Drosophila melanogaster: one gene and its partner. The protein of the gene in region 1 purifies or fractionates together with the protein of each later gene. This does not show direct contact. Each region holds a gene or a part of one and is shown on either strand. Other genes may lie near its edges.

Region 1 (7,156 bases):
CCATAACCGATCTCCTCGTGCATCCCGCTCGCTCTCGCTTTTTGGTCATAAACCAACTAAATTGAGTTCGTTCAACAAAACAGCGACGCATGCGCCGAACCCCGAACCCATAGTTGTAGCCCCTGAAACACCTCGTACCCCTTTTCCTTCACAGATCACACGGCGCGCTCTTAACGATCGTGTGTCCACAGTCATTACAATGTTGGCCAATGCACAAAAGTCGAAGCTGAAGCTGAAGCTGAGCTGAGTCTGCGACTGAGACACACTTACCGCACGCTGCTTTTCTCTTTCATGTCGATCCATAGCCATATAGCCGCAGCTCGAGTCGGTCGTGATCTTGCCCGTAAGTGGTCTTGTATCTTGAATTCGTAAAAGTACACACACACACACGCATTGAGTGGTGGCCCAGCCAGACACACACACACACATACAAAAAAGGGCAGGTGTGTCGATCGTGTGAGAACCACGTTCCAAACCATTTTCTCACGATCTTCGCTTCTGATATTTAGTTTTTTTTTTCTGGCCACGGTCCCCGGTCTTCAGTCTTCAGTCCCTTCCCCTACCTAAAAAATAAGACCCTTTCTTTGGGCCTCGGTCTTCGAGTGATTCGTATGCAGTTTGTGTATTGTAGTTTTTAATGACTTGGGCTTGCGTTCGAGCTCGATCGCCGGATTGCCGGATTGCTGTATCGGGGGTTCGGTTACGTCGCCGCCATTCGTTCATCATTCATCGGGTTTACCTATAAGATTAAGTATCTTTTGTGCCAGCATTTCCTTTTGGCATTTTGGGTGCGATTCCTCCGCATGTCCCTATAACCGACTTTTTCTTATTGCCCATTGTATGGTATGACAACTGGGCTTGCTTGGTTTGGTTTGGATTGGTGTTGGTCCTCTTATTGTCGAGTCCATAGTTGTGTCGCCTTGATCGGATCATCCAGGAATGGCCTAGGATCGAAAGTGAGCTATAATTTAACATGGCTCTTAAGGAGTGTCCATTATTACACTTTATGTTATCCCAGGGTGGAAGTGACATCCAAACATTGAAGGAAATGATCTTGTTCAGTACATTATAGGGTTTAAGATTACACAGAATTTGCAAGTGAAATACAAATATTTTTAGCGTATTATCTACAAAGGATATCTCAGAAGGATTTAAACAATTTAAAAAATTATAAACGTTTTTTTTTAGTTATTTATAAGCTAGTAACCATAAGCTATAAATCTTATTAATTTCCATAAATAATTGCTGGCACACAAGAAAACAAAAAGGACGGAAATGTAAAATTAAGTATAAACACTTAGGGCTGTTGTGAAGAAGATCTTCTTAAAGATAATCTACTTTCGGCTTTAGCAAGTTAACAGAATTTTAATCAGCTGAAAAATCTCTATAAATTTAGTTCCTTTTTAAATTTATTACACCCCGCCAGCACAGACTAGTCCCAAGCCAATCCTGATACCGATCTCGTTGACTATTCCCTCGATCTGCCCTGCGTCGATTTTTAAGACAGAGGCGTCTGTGAATCGGCTACTGGTCTTGGCACACAGATAACCAAATGATGCTGGGTCAGCCAGATCAGAAAAAAAAAACGAAAATCAAAAAAGGCTCGGGCAGAGCCCATAAAAAAGAAACAACAAAAAAACCGATATCCTGTCCCCGGCTGGAGCTCCTCCATCTTAAAGTTGCCCTAGGGCAAGGCAGTCATTTACCTGATCCGAAGCAATTATGTGCCCATAGCTTACCTTGACCATTGTGCACACGATTTTCTATCCGAGTGGCCAGGGAGAATCACGGCAACAAAAAATTGAGGAGAACAAAGCGAAATCAGGACGGATGCGGGATGAATGATGACTCGATCCCTTTTTTGGTTTTCGGTTTTTTTTTCGGGTTCCTTGCCGGCTCTATGCCCATTTGTTTTCTTCTAAGTCTGAGCGACATTGTCGTAACTCGATTAGATACGCTCAAAGATAAGACTCTAATATTTTCTGTTACCTTCGCTTATTGTCCGCACACGTGTTGGAGTTGCAACCACCAACTGGCCTATAGGCTATGTCCCGGTATCGGTAGCCCCGGCTTTGGACTTTGGACTTCTTTCTTCTCTCGTTCTTCTGCCTAATTCTTCTTGTTTCGGCCTTGGCATTGTTTTCGCTTTCTTTTGTCCGACGATCGTGTATGTGCATCCGTGGGGCGATCGAATAGTTACAGGGGACAGAGAGAGGTGCTATTGCGTTTCTAGCGTTTCCGTTCTAGACCGCAGACAATTGGAAACTGTCTGGACATGGGAGTGTCTGAGCAATTTGCATGTGAGTCACTAGATAGTGGCAGAAAAAGTCGTGATCTTTCAATTTTAGCTATATAATTTATTATTTATTTAGTTATCACATGAACTGCGCGTCCTCATCTAAAGCTTTGTGTGTTTATGGTGTTTACTTATAACTAGGTGGGAGTCGACTGGTGGAAATCCAGTGACTCGGAAGACTTTTACTTTCTATGATCTCTCCTTCGTTTTTTTTTTTTTCAGTTGTGGTGTGAAGTAATCCTATCTACCAGGGACGCCAGACGTTCTCCTCGTCCTCGCTGTCGTCCTCCATCTTGGTCACATCGATGGTGGTCAACAGGGAATGGCTGGTCGAACTGGTATTGGAGTTGGGACTGCCGGCGTAGCTGGAGATTGGCGAAATGGGCACGGAGTAGGCATCCCGATTGGCGATGTGCACGGAGAGTGGAGCGGTCACCGGCAAGACTTCCTTTTCTGCTGGCTGGATCTGATTGAGGCGCTGTCCCAGGTGGGTCATTAGCTGAGTGCCTAGGCTGACATTCATGCCGGGCAGCTGGGAGAGTGAACGGGAGACCTCATTGACGGCATGGATGTAGCCGGAACGGAAGCCCTCCGCCGGAGTCAAGCTCTCATCGCCGGAAGCCCGCTTGTGCTGACGCTGCTGCTTCATCTTTTGCAAATGGGTGACGGTAAGTTCCAGGATATCGGCTTTCTCCAAACGGGTGACGTGCTCGCCCTCGGACTCCAAGGTGGCAACCATAAGATCCTTTAGCTCGTCCAGGCACTTGTTGATTCTGGCACGACGCTTCCTCTCCAGCATGGGCTTCATCACCTTGCGGTACTGATAGGTCTTGGACATCTCGGACATTTGTAGCGACGACATTTTGTGTGTTTCTTATTGTTCTTTTTGTAGTTTCGATGTAAGCTGAGTTCTTTGAGCTCTTGCTGCTCCGACAGTCGAAGTCGTTGTGTGTTGCTAGACCTTCGGTGATCGGCCTTATATAGCTGGCCAGAAACAACCCCCAAAAAATGGGCCAAAGGGATCGTCGTCGTCGTCGTGTGTGCTGGCATTCGAGGAGCAAAAGGGACGGGGACACGCTTCGTGTGCTGGCATGAGGGTTGCTCGGTACCGACCCTTCCGCTTCTTGAGACCGCTCCTTATTGTTCGGGCGATTTCTTATTGTTGGCCCCGGCACCCTTATCAAACGGGCCAGGGAGCAGGATCGCTGCCAGGATCGTGGGAAACACTTTCCTACTCGGTTTCTCACATCGACTCGCTCACCTGCCCGCAAAAAGCAGCCGAGCATGGCCACGGCCATGGGCATGGGAATTTGCAGAGCGAACAGCTGCCGTTTCTAGATTTGTGTGTTATGATTTGACTATGGCATGGCAGGGTGAGGGGCATAAGGATAATGAACTGCTTGCATTATGCCATCTCATCGGGGTCCTCCGGGGTTCCCACGATAGCGGGGACCTCCGCCGGGGGATGGGGATAAGGATAAGGACGAGGCGTTGCGATTCCTCGACAACTTCCTGTTTACCGTTGGCATTCCAAATTGGATCGGGTTCGTGTTTGGTGGCAGAGGAAGGGACAAGGACAGAGGCATCCTGCACTTGTTGGTCGGCTGTTATGATCCTGTGGGAACATTGCTCGTGTGCGTCGAGTGCGCTTAATGCGTGTACGACTTCCCGATCCCCCCGACCCGGCAGGACCTCTGCCTCTCCCTCCATCCGCCATGTAAAAGGGGCCAGCGATGCTGATCCTGGAGCGCTGCTCGCGTGTGGCTCGCTGTGGACACACTTTCGGCTGTAAGTTGCTCGCGTTCCAGGACCTTTGTAATGGATGGATGGTTGGATGGGTGGTGCATTACAGGGATTTGTAAACGGAGTGGGGAGAGTTCAATTGACTTGAATTCAAGTGGACAGTATAACGGTATTTGGTATTTAGAATTATAAATTATTAAAATTCCAAGGAAAATATATATTTTCTATATATTTCAAATTAGATTTTAGAAATATATTTAAATATATCTGATATATCTTTTATATCGAAGAAAGCTAAATAAGAGCTTATAAATTATAATTATAATATAATAATTATATATATTATAACATTTTGTACCTATGTACCTATGGATTATAGCAACCTTGTTTATGTTCATATTCCAAATAATATAAAGCTTTTAAAATTTCAGTTTACGTTCATTTTATTATTCAAATGTTCATGGCTTATACTTAATGGTGTAAAGCGAAAAATATAATTTTAAAACATACACAAAAATTTGTTCTTAATGAGGCTAAGTGGAAGCTCGGTGGGGAAGCTCTTGCAAAGTTGATGAAATAAATTACAATGAATTAAATACATGAATCAGTAAGCCTATGGGAGATCAAATACAAAATACGAACTTAAGAACTATCACAGGAACATCACATCATATCAAATCAACTACCAACTAAATACGATTCTGAGGCAAATGTTTACACTAGACCTTGGAAAACTTGGATTGTTTCTTAATGAAACTGAGTAGTAAAGCTATCAATGTTAATTGGTTGCGTATATATGGAATGCCCTTCACCAGGGGCGCCAGACTTCTTCGCCATGATGAATATCCTCTTCTCGCGGAGACTTTGAACGTTTTTGGTCGGCTAGATTAACTGGTTCTTCGGCCATATCGATGATTTCTTCTTCCTGTTTCATGTCCTTGAGCTGGTGACCCAATTGCTTCATCAGGTGGGTGCCGAATTTGAGATCCAAGCCGGGAACCGTAGAGAATATGTGCGAGACCTCGTAGGCAGCCTGGGTGTATCCGGCCCGAAATTTGTCCAGGTTAACTTGGTCGGGTGGTGGGGATTGAGGATTGGCCACTCGCTGCTGCTGTTGCGCTTTCAGATAGTTGACGGTGAGCTCTAAGATGTCAGCTTTCTCCAGCTTGCTGACCTGTTCGCCCTGCGCATCCATGGTGTCCACGATGAGATCCTTGAGTTCGTCCAGATACAGGTTCATCCGGGCGCGTCTTTTGCGCTCCAGGAGGGGTTTGGTCACCTTGCGGTAATGCTGAGTCTTGGTCATAAATCTCTGACCCTGAACGGCCATTGTGTATAATGGGTTTTGATTTGGTGTGGTGATTGTTTGTAAATAAAGTTGCGATGTTGCGATGTCGCTGCTGCCGCTCCGCACTGCACGGTAGTCACTTGAGAAATGATCTTGCCGCAAGGTAAGCTGATCCTTTTTGTAGCTGCTGGTGCCGTACACTTGCGAAATCGAAATCCTCCCCTAACTGCCACCACGCACTGCGATCACAACGCTCCTACACGCCGACGATCACAACGAAGCATCAATCGGGTCACTCTCTGCTTGTGGCAAGATTCCCTCGGCGTTGCACGTGTGCAACATCAAAAAAATTGGATCGGGCGGAAGCCGCTGAGGCTCTCTTCTTGCACTGAAAACAATCCATATGTGGCAGAGAACAATTTTTAAAATCTATACTTTATATAAACTACTTTTAAAATATACAAGTTTCGAAGCATACTCTTTGGATGTCCATTCTGGAAACCAAAGTTTCTCATGCATCTAAAGTATCTTACAACGATAAGTATAAACAAAGAAAAAATAGTTTTATTGTACTTTAGAAACTTTTATATATTTAGAAATTAATTTATTTTTAATCAAAGCTTCTTTAACCTTGGTCATAATAGTAGAATGCCTTAAAGTTATTTTCAGTGTATTGACTAGGGTCCAATAACACGTTCTTCGGATCTTCGCCCGAGCTAGTAGCGCGCTCTCTTCGGGCGTCTCTCTTCCTCGTGCTGTTGCCGTGCGCCGGCGCAACAGTCTGAAGAAGGGTCTCCGAGGAAGAGCAGGAGGAAAGAGTCGGAGCAATCAACCACCACCACCAGCAGCGCACCACACGCACACACGACATCAGCAGCGACATGACCTCGACCTGCCTGGCAGCCATCCGTGCTCCCTGGTTCCCACTTCCCTCGAGAAAAGAGAGCCGAGCCCCATGCGTGCCGTCCTCACTTAAGCCAAAGAGCCAATCTTGTCGAGGCAATGCCATTGTTGCATATGGGTGTGGGTTTCTGCTTGTATGCGTGCAGGTGCACTGGAAAAAATGTTGTTTTGTAAACTGAAATATAATATTCAGAAATATGCAAAATGTGCATAAATAATATATTAAATTCTGTAACTAAACTATAATTTGCATTACTTTGCTTTAAAAGCAATGCAATCCCGAAGTCTTTATAAGCCATCTTTATAAGTTGCTAGTTTAGAGTTCGAATTTTCTTGCAGTGTGGCCTCTTCCCTTTTGGCGCACAGTCACACAGACCTCATTTCCTCTTTGGCGCGACATTGCGTTACACTTACGGGCACGGAGCACCATCATCAGCAGCAGAAGCAGCAGCAGCAACCACCGCAACAACCACCACCACCAACGGGACGGCAGCATAGCACCACCCAGGCAAGCGGCAAACAGCCGGTGCTGCGATGGGTCGGTCGGTGCATGTGCATCGTGAGAAAGTGTACTGGAGACATTCCCACAAGTATTGGGATTGTGCCGCACTTCTGCTGCCGGTTGCCCGGTTCCTCGGCCTCGGTCAGCTGTGACACTTGTTTGGCGCATTTTGCGAGATTGGGTATTCGGGGATAGGGCCATTGACGAAATCCACCTGCCCGAGGGTGAGTTCCAGTTCAAATCCAAGACCAGGGGTCGCTGCAATCGCAGCCATGAAATCGAGAAGTTAACAAACAGTGCAGCAAGGCACCGGCGACATTTGCTGACATCTGATGGCACTGATTTCGTACATTTCGTTTCCAGTTTTCTTCGTGGGGGAGGTTTCTGAGATCATCAGAGTGGCAATGTTTTGATATGGGTATTG
Region 2 (5,129 bases), on another chromosome or scaffold:
TTACTTACATACAACCATGTGAAACGTTAAATTGTTAAAAACAATTAAAATCTAGTTTTAATGAAATATCAGTAATACAGATAATACAAAGGAATTACAACCATTTATTACAAATAATTATCGTTGTTACAAATTATACAGATAACTAATATGAAATTATAACAAATGCTACTTTAGGGCGATTCCCCAAGCCCCCAGATAATTTATGATACCAAGTTAATGAAATAACCGAACAACAAAAACACCCCGCCCTAACAACAATAAGAATATATACACTTATATGATATACATACCTACAAAATGAATTCAAAGAAATAATATATGGCGATTGAGTTATTCTCATTAATTATTATATGTAAAATTAAATAACACAAGTAATAACTAAATGAATAAATAAATATATTTAAAATGTATCGAAAATCGATGTAGTAGAGTGTTTTTTTATTCCCAGCTAGGATGGAACCCCCCAATCTTAATTAAAACCTCTTCCTTTATGTTTTACTTTCAATATACATAATTTATTTCGTTGTTGCTTATGTGTTTTATATTGCTTTACAATAATTGACTAGAGTAAATAGCTTAGGAATACCCAGATCCCTGTGTTGCATAATTTCCACCCCCGGAAAGTTCGCAACCCTTGGTTTCTCTCTCTCGTTTTACTTGCAATGAGATCGCAGCAAAGTGACTAGAATGAGGAGGAGTTCCTGCCCTCCGGTTTGCTCTCAGGCGTGCAGAAGTCCATCGCTTTGCCCAACCAATTTCCCAAGGAGAGTCTGGTAGAGTGGCGACTCCGTGGGTATTCCCTCGCTCTGCAGAAACAGCAATGTTTCTCTGGCACACATGGCAAAACCCAGTGCCTCCGCCTGACTCCTTTGGGCTGGCGTCGGTGGCGCAAACTGGGCCGCCACCTCGGCATCCTCGTCACTTTCCTCAACATCCTCCGCTTCAGCTCCGGCAGCCGCATAGCCATCTCGATCGTTTAGATCCTGCTCAAAGGCATCCAGCTCCGCTTGCAGCTCCATTATTTTTTGCAGCGCTTCCAGAAGGATTCGATTGGGGGCATCTGGCGGGTTGGGGCAATTCTGCCCTGGCTCTTCTGCTGGTGGAGTTAGAGGACGATGGCGTTTCTCCGGAACCGCTTCAGTCGGTTGCTGCTCCTGTTGCTGTTCCTGCGGCTGGACACGTTGCTCCTGCGCCTGCTGCTGCTCCTCCTGGCTGGCTCGCTTGCGCTTCATGATCAGTTTGCCCGACATGCTTAGAGGATGATCTACTAGACTTAAGCTGCAATCGTTTGGTTTTCCAACTCGCTCCTGCGCGACACAACCTTCGTTCACCTGGCGATCGCCACGACTGAGCTGCGACCAACTGCACCCCGGCGACCAACTGGCAACTGCCGACTCCAACCCCAAAATGCGGCAGGGACCAGAGATAGTGGCATTAGGGGATGTGCCGCGCCAAGGAAATTAAAAACAACAATCCATCGGCAACCAAAAAAAAAAAAATTGTTGCAGCTGTTTGAGTTGCGGCAGCTGAAGCGGGAGGGCAACAGGATACTGGCTACAGGCCACAGCCTGAACGGCAGCAGCAGGATATTGCAACCCTCAGCTGGCGCTGCCTCTCTCTCTACCTCTCTCTCTCTCTCTCTCTATCTCTCTCTCTCTCTCTCTTTCTCTGCCGCTGCAGCAGCCGCGCTCCGAATATCCTCCCTTCCTCCGTGCATCCGTCCTGCACCCCATCCCCCCGGGATCACAGGCGCGCCCTGCTCGTCCTTTCCGACCTTTCAGTTGTTGTTGTCCCGTGTCCGTTTCCTTTCGGTGCGGCATAGCCGATTCCCAAGTTACCTTCCTATGTCCTTTTTTTTAATAGGGTTGCATTGAAGGGTGTGTGCGAAAATAAAGCATTTTAATCAAATTTTCTTTTTTTTACATTTTAAAGCAGACATAAATAAATTATCAATACCTTACAATCTTGGGTAATCAAGTTTTGAGCGTATAAATTTTCATGAATTTTTTTTGAATGTATAAGTTGTCAATTTAATGACGAATTAACTTAATTGCTACAAATAAACGAATCTGGACTTTTAATTCAGTTGATTTCAAATGAGTTTCGATCTGGTTTTAGCGAACAACGACCGATATATGTAATTGCTTAAATTGCTTTTCTTGGCAAAACGTGCACTGCTGACGCACTTAAAGAATAAGTTATTCAGGTTAGACAGTTAAGCTATTTAGGTAATATTTAACGTATCCGTTAAGCATTGTATTCTACCAATAAGCTACCTAAAATTTTGTTTGTGAACTTTGATCACTTGAACTTTGATCACGATGCTTCTTTACGAATATAGATTTTCGTATTTGCATACAAAATTCGTTTAATGTGCATATTTGTAGGAGATTCCCCAGTGCGGTATGCCCGACCATGATAAGCATTTGCAGCTGGCACGCTTCACATTCATCTCTTCGATCGGCACTTCCCCTGCGAGTTAGTTTGACCTGCCACTGCAATGATAAGTGCACACCTAAAAGCACTGCGAGAAATTTTCGAATTTCGTTGTCATGGAAATTGGTATGCGGTATGAGTTAGTTTGAACGAAATCACGTTTACCTCCGTTGGCATGGAGAACCAATTCTTATCGGCTTTATTGCCGATTGTTAACGTAGTAAAGGTGGAGTGGTCCCAAAATGCTAATCGATAATGCTGTCAAAATTTGGAATGAACATAATTCGCTTTATGGTTTATGTCCGCGCATTGTGTAATCATGACCATAATTTAAAATAAAGGGATTTATATTTTGGGTTTGTTGGAAGGGGGAAGGGGGGAGTGCTGAAATATAAGATGACACCATAAATGAAGAATCTCCTGTCCCAAGAAAAAAAAAAAGAAACAATCTCATTGATAGCAATAAATGTTTATTTATGGTCAAGGAAATTGGGCATTATTCGATTTATTTGGGGCTGCGAATTTGACACTATCTCAGCGAATTGTTGTTTCGCAATTTCGGAAGGGGCATTTAAATAATCACGCCCAGACGTCAAGTCTGTGAACTTATGATATGGATGGATTGGATATTTGCATTTAGTATGTCGGCAATGGTGTGTGTACACATTATTTACTTGATAAGCACTTGATGTTGTTAAGGGCGTATCAAAATTGAATCATATATATTATTTTTATCTCATTTTTATCGTACACTTGACATTGTGTAATATTGCGTGCTGGTTTTCCTCTCCCCATTTCAGTTAAACTTGGCCGAAGCATCTTCTATTTATTTTCGAACCAACTCAATTGCTGTTGTATCTTGTATCTTTCGGATATATTTAGGCGACATCTCGAGCAGGAAAGTTGTACCTTTCCCTTTCGTTTTTGAGTTATTTGCCCGAACACAGGCAGCAAATAGTAAATAGCAAATACATTATCCACAGCCGCAGCTGTCGTGTGTCTATTGAGCCATTATACATACTATATGATTGAACAGTTTGAGAAGCACGCGACAAGTGGCAGCGGATAATTTGGGGATGAACTGTGGCCCAAAACCCGGCAATTGTGATCATTTCGTGTGGGTAGAACTTCGCAGTAAACTCATAAAGTAATTTACGCGGCTGTTGAGTGAAATTCATCTTTCCAATATTTATCTATCCTTCCATTTTGGCGGCCATAAATCTGTGCAACAAGCAGGCCTCATTGTTCATCAATCGAATGTGCCTGAAAGTTCGCAGAAGACACTTGCTTGGAATTTTCGGGAAATTAATAACAAAGATCGGCTTACTCGGCACAATCGGCGGACTGTTGTTAATGGTGCGTCAATAAACATGTACAGTAAATACTCTAAATATAGGTAAGCAACCATGTTGCATATAATTTCGTGACAGTGAAAATGTTTTACTATGAAACAAAAGTGCAAATATTAATTACAGATATAGATATTCCAAAAATATCCTTTCGAATGCGTGATCTTTGATTCATGTGTTTAGATCACTTACAAGTAAATGCTGTTTGATGCTAGAGTTACGCCGAATGTAAATTCTCCGTAGCGAGCGTGCACTGTATATATTTTTTAGTACAATCCATATTTCGGCGTGGGAATGTCACGTTGTGTTTAGACAACTGTTGGGCCAACTACCTGCCTCTGTCTGAGTGGCTATGAGTCAGATAAATATATAGCCAATTCACCATTATCTGATCTATAACCGACGATTATCGCGCGATATGTCTGCTTCCGATGGCTTCCAAAACATCGAAATACAATGGGGTAATGCAGAAAGAGCATCGCATTGTCATTCTCAGCCAATTTAACCCGCAATCGCAATACGAGGCCTTATCGTAATCAGTCCGCTTCGCGAGGCAGTAAATTTCGGTTTTGCTGTTTAAGGTACTCGGCTTTATGTTTTCGGCTAATAACGGTTCTCGCACTCTCAGCCAATTTGGTGGGTCAGTCAGTTAGCCCGCGGACCGTGCGACGAGTGCATGTGAGTAGCGATCGTTGGTATTTGGTAATTCGTTGCTTCTGAAGTAACATCGATCGGGCCTTTTTGAGCCGAGTTAGCTTTTAGGCCAATGCCATGAGCAAGCTGAAGTTCGAGCTCGTTTCCGAGTTCAATCGAAAACCAGTTGACCGAGTGAAGTGGACCGCGATGGCAGAAATTTGTCGAGCAGAATGTGCTGGGGATTTGTGTGTTTTTTTTTTGCACACGCAAAGTGATAAGCGGCGATTAGATTTAAAACACCCAATAAACTATAAATTGCGATTTCTGCGCGCTCGTGATTGATAAATATTTGCCTCTCAGCAGTGGATTGGTGATAAGGTCGAAAAGGACCTTCAACAGTCTAAGTAGAAAATCTGGTTAACAACGTTTGAAGTGTTTCCATTACATGTGTAAAACCATTCGGATAAGAAAACGAACTAATACTTAAAACACGCTTCATTAAGTGGCAGTGCATTAATTTTTTATTAAAATTTTTAGATTTTCATGAGTGCAAAAACAATGATTATGACAAACCAGTTGCCGTGCGCGAATCAGTGCTTATTCACCGAAGATTATCCACCCACATTTCATCCCTTCGTGTGTGATAACTTATCAGCGATTGTTGTGTTTATTGTTCCAGCACCAAAATGTTACCTGCCCGTGGTC

The links. The genes of interacting proteins can lie anywhere in the genome.
Region 2: the proteins of E(spl)mgamma-HLH (region 1) and insb purify together in Drosophila melanogaster (affinity purification with western blotting, with the first as the bait; one study listed by BioGRID). This does not show direct contact.

The regions. Positions count from the first base shown.
Region 1 is NT_033777.3:25,995,945-26,003,100, reverse strand, and holds E(spl)mgamma-HLH (enhancer of split mgamma, helix-loop-helix), read right to left. Parts: upstream 3,251-7,156; 5' UTR 3,159-3,250; coding exon 2,541-3,158; 3' UTR 2,340-2,540; downstream 1-2,339. Other genes in the region: E(spl)mdelta-HLH (enhancer of split mdelta, helix-loop-helix), read right to left, coding at 4,848-5,369; CG43116 (uncharacterized protein), read left to right, coding at 6,209-6,348, 6,570-6,927. UniProt on the Drosophila melanogaster protein: Transcriptional repressor of genes that require a bHLH protein for their transcription. May serve as a transcriptional regulator of the Achaete-scute complex (AS-C) genes. Contributes to the neural-epidermal lineage decision during early neurogenesis.
Region 2 is NT_033778.4:17,474,714-17,479,842, forward strand, and holds insb (insensible), read right to left. Parts: upstream 1,560-5,129; 5' UTR 1,254-1,559; coding exon 723-1,253; 3' UTR 501-722; downstream 1-500. Other genes in the region: veil, read left to right, coding at 5,111-5,129.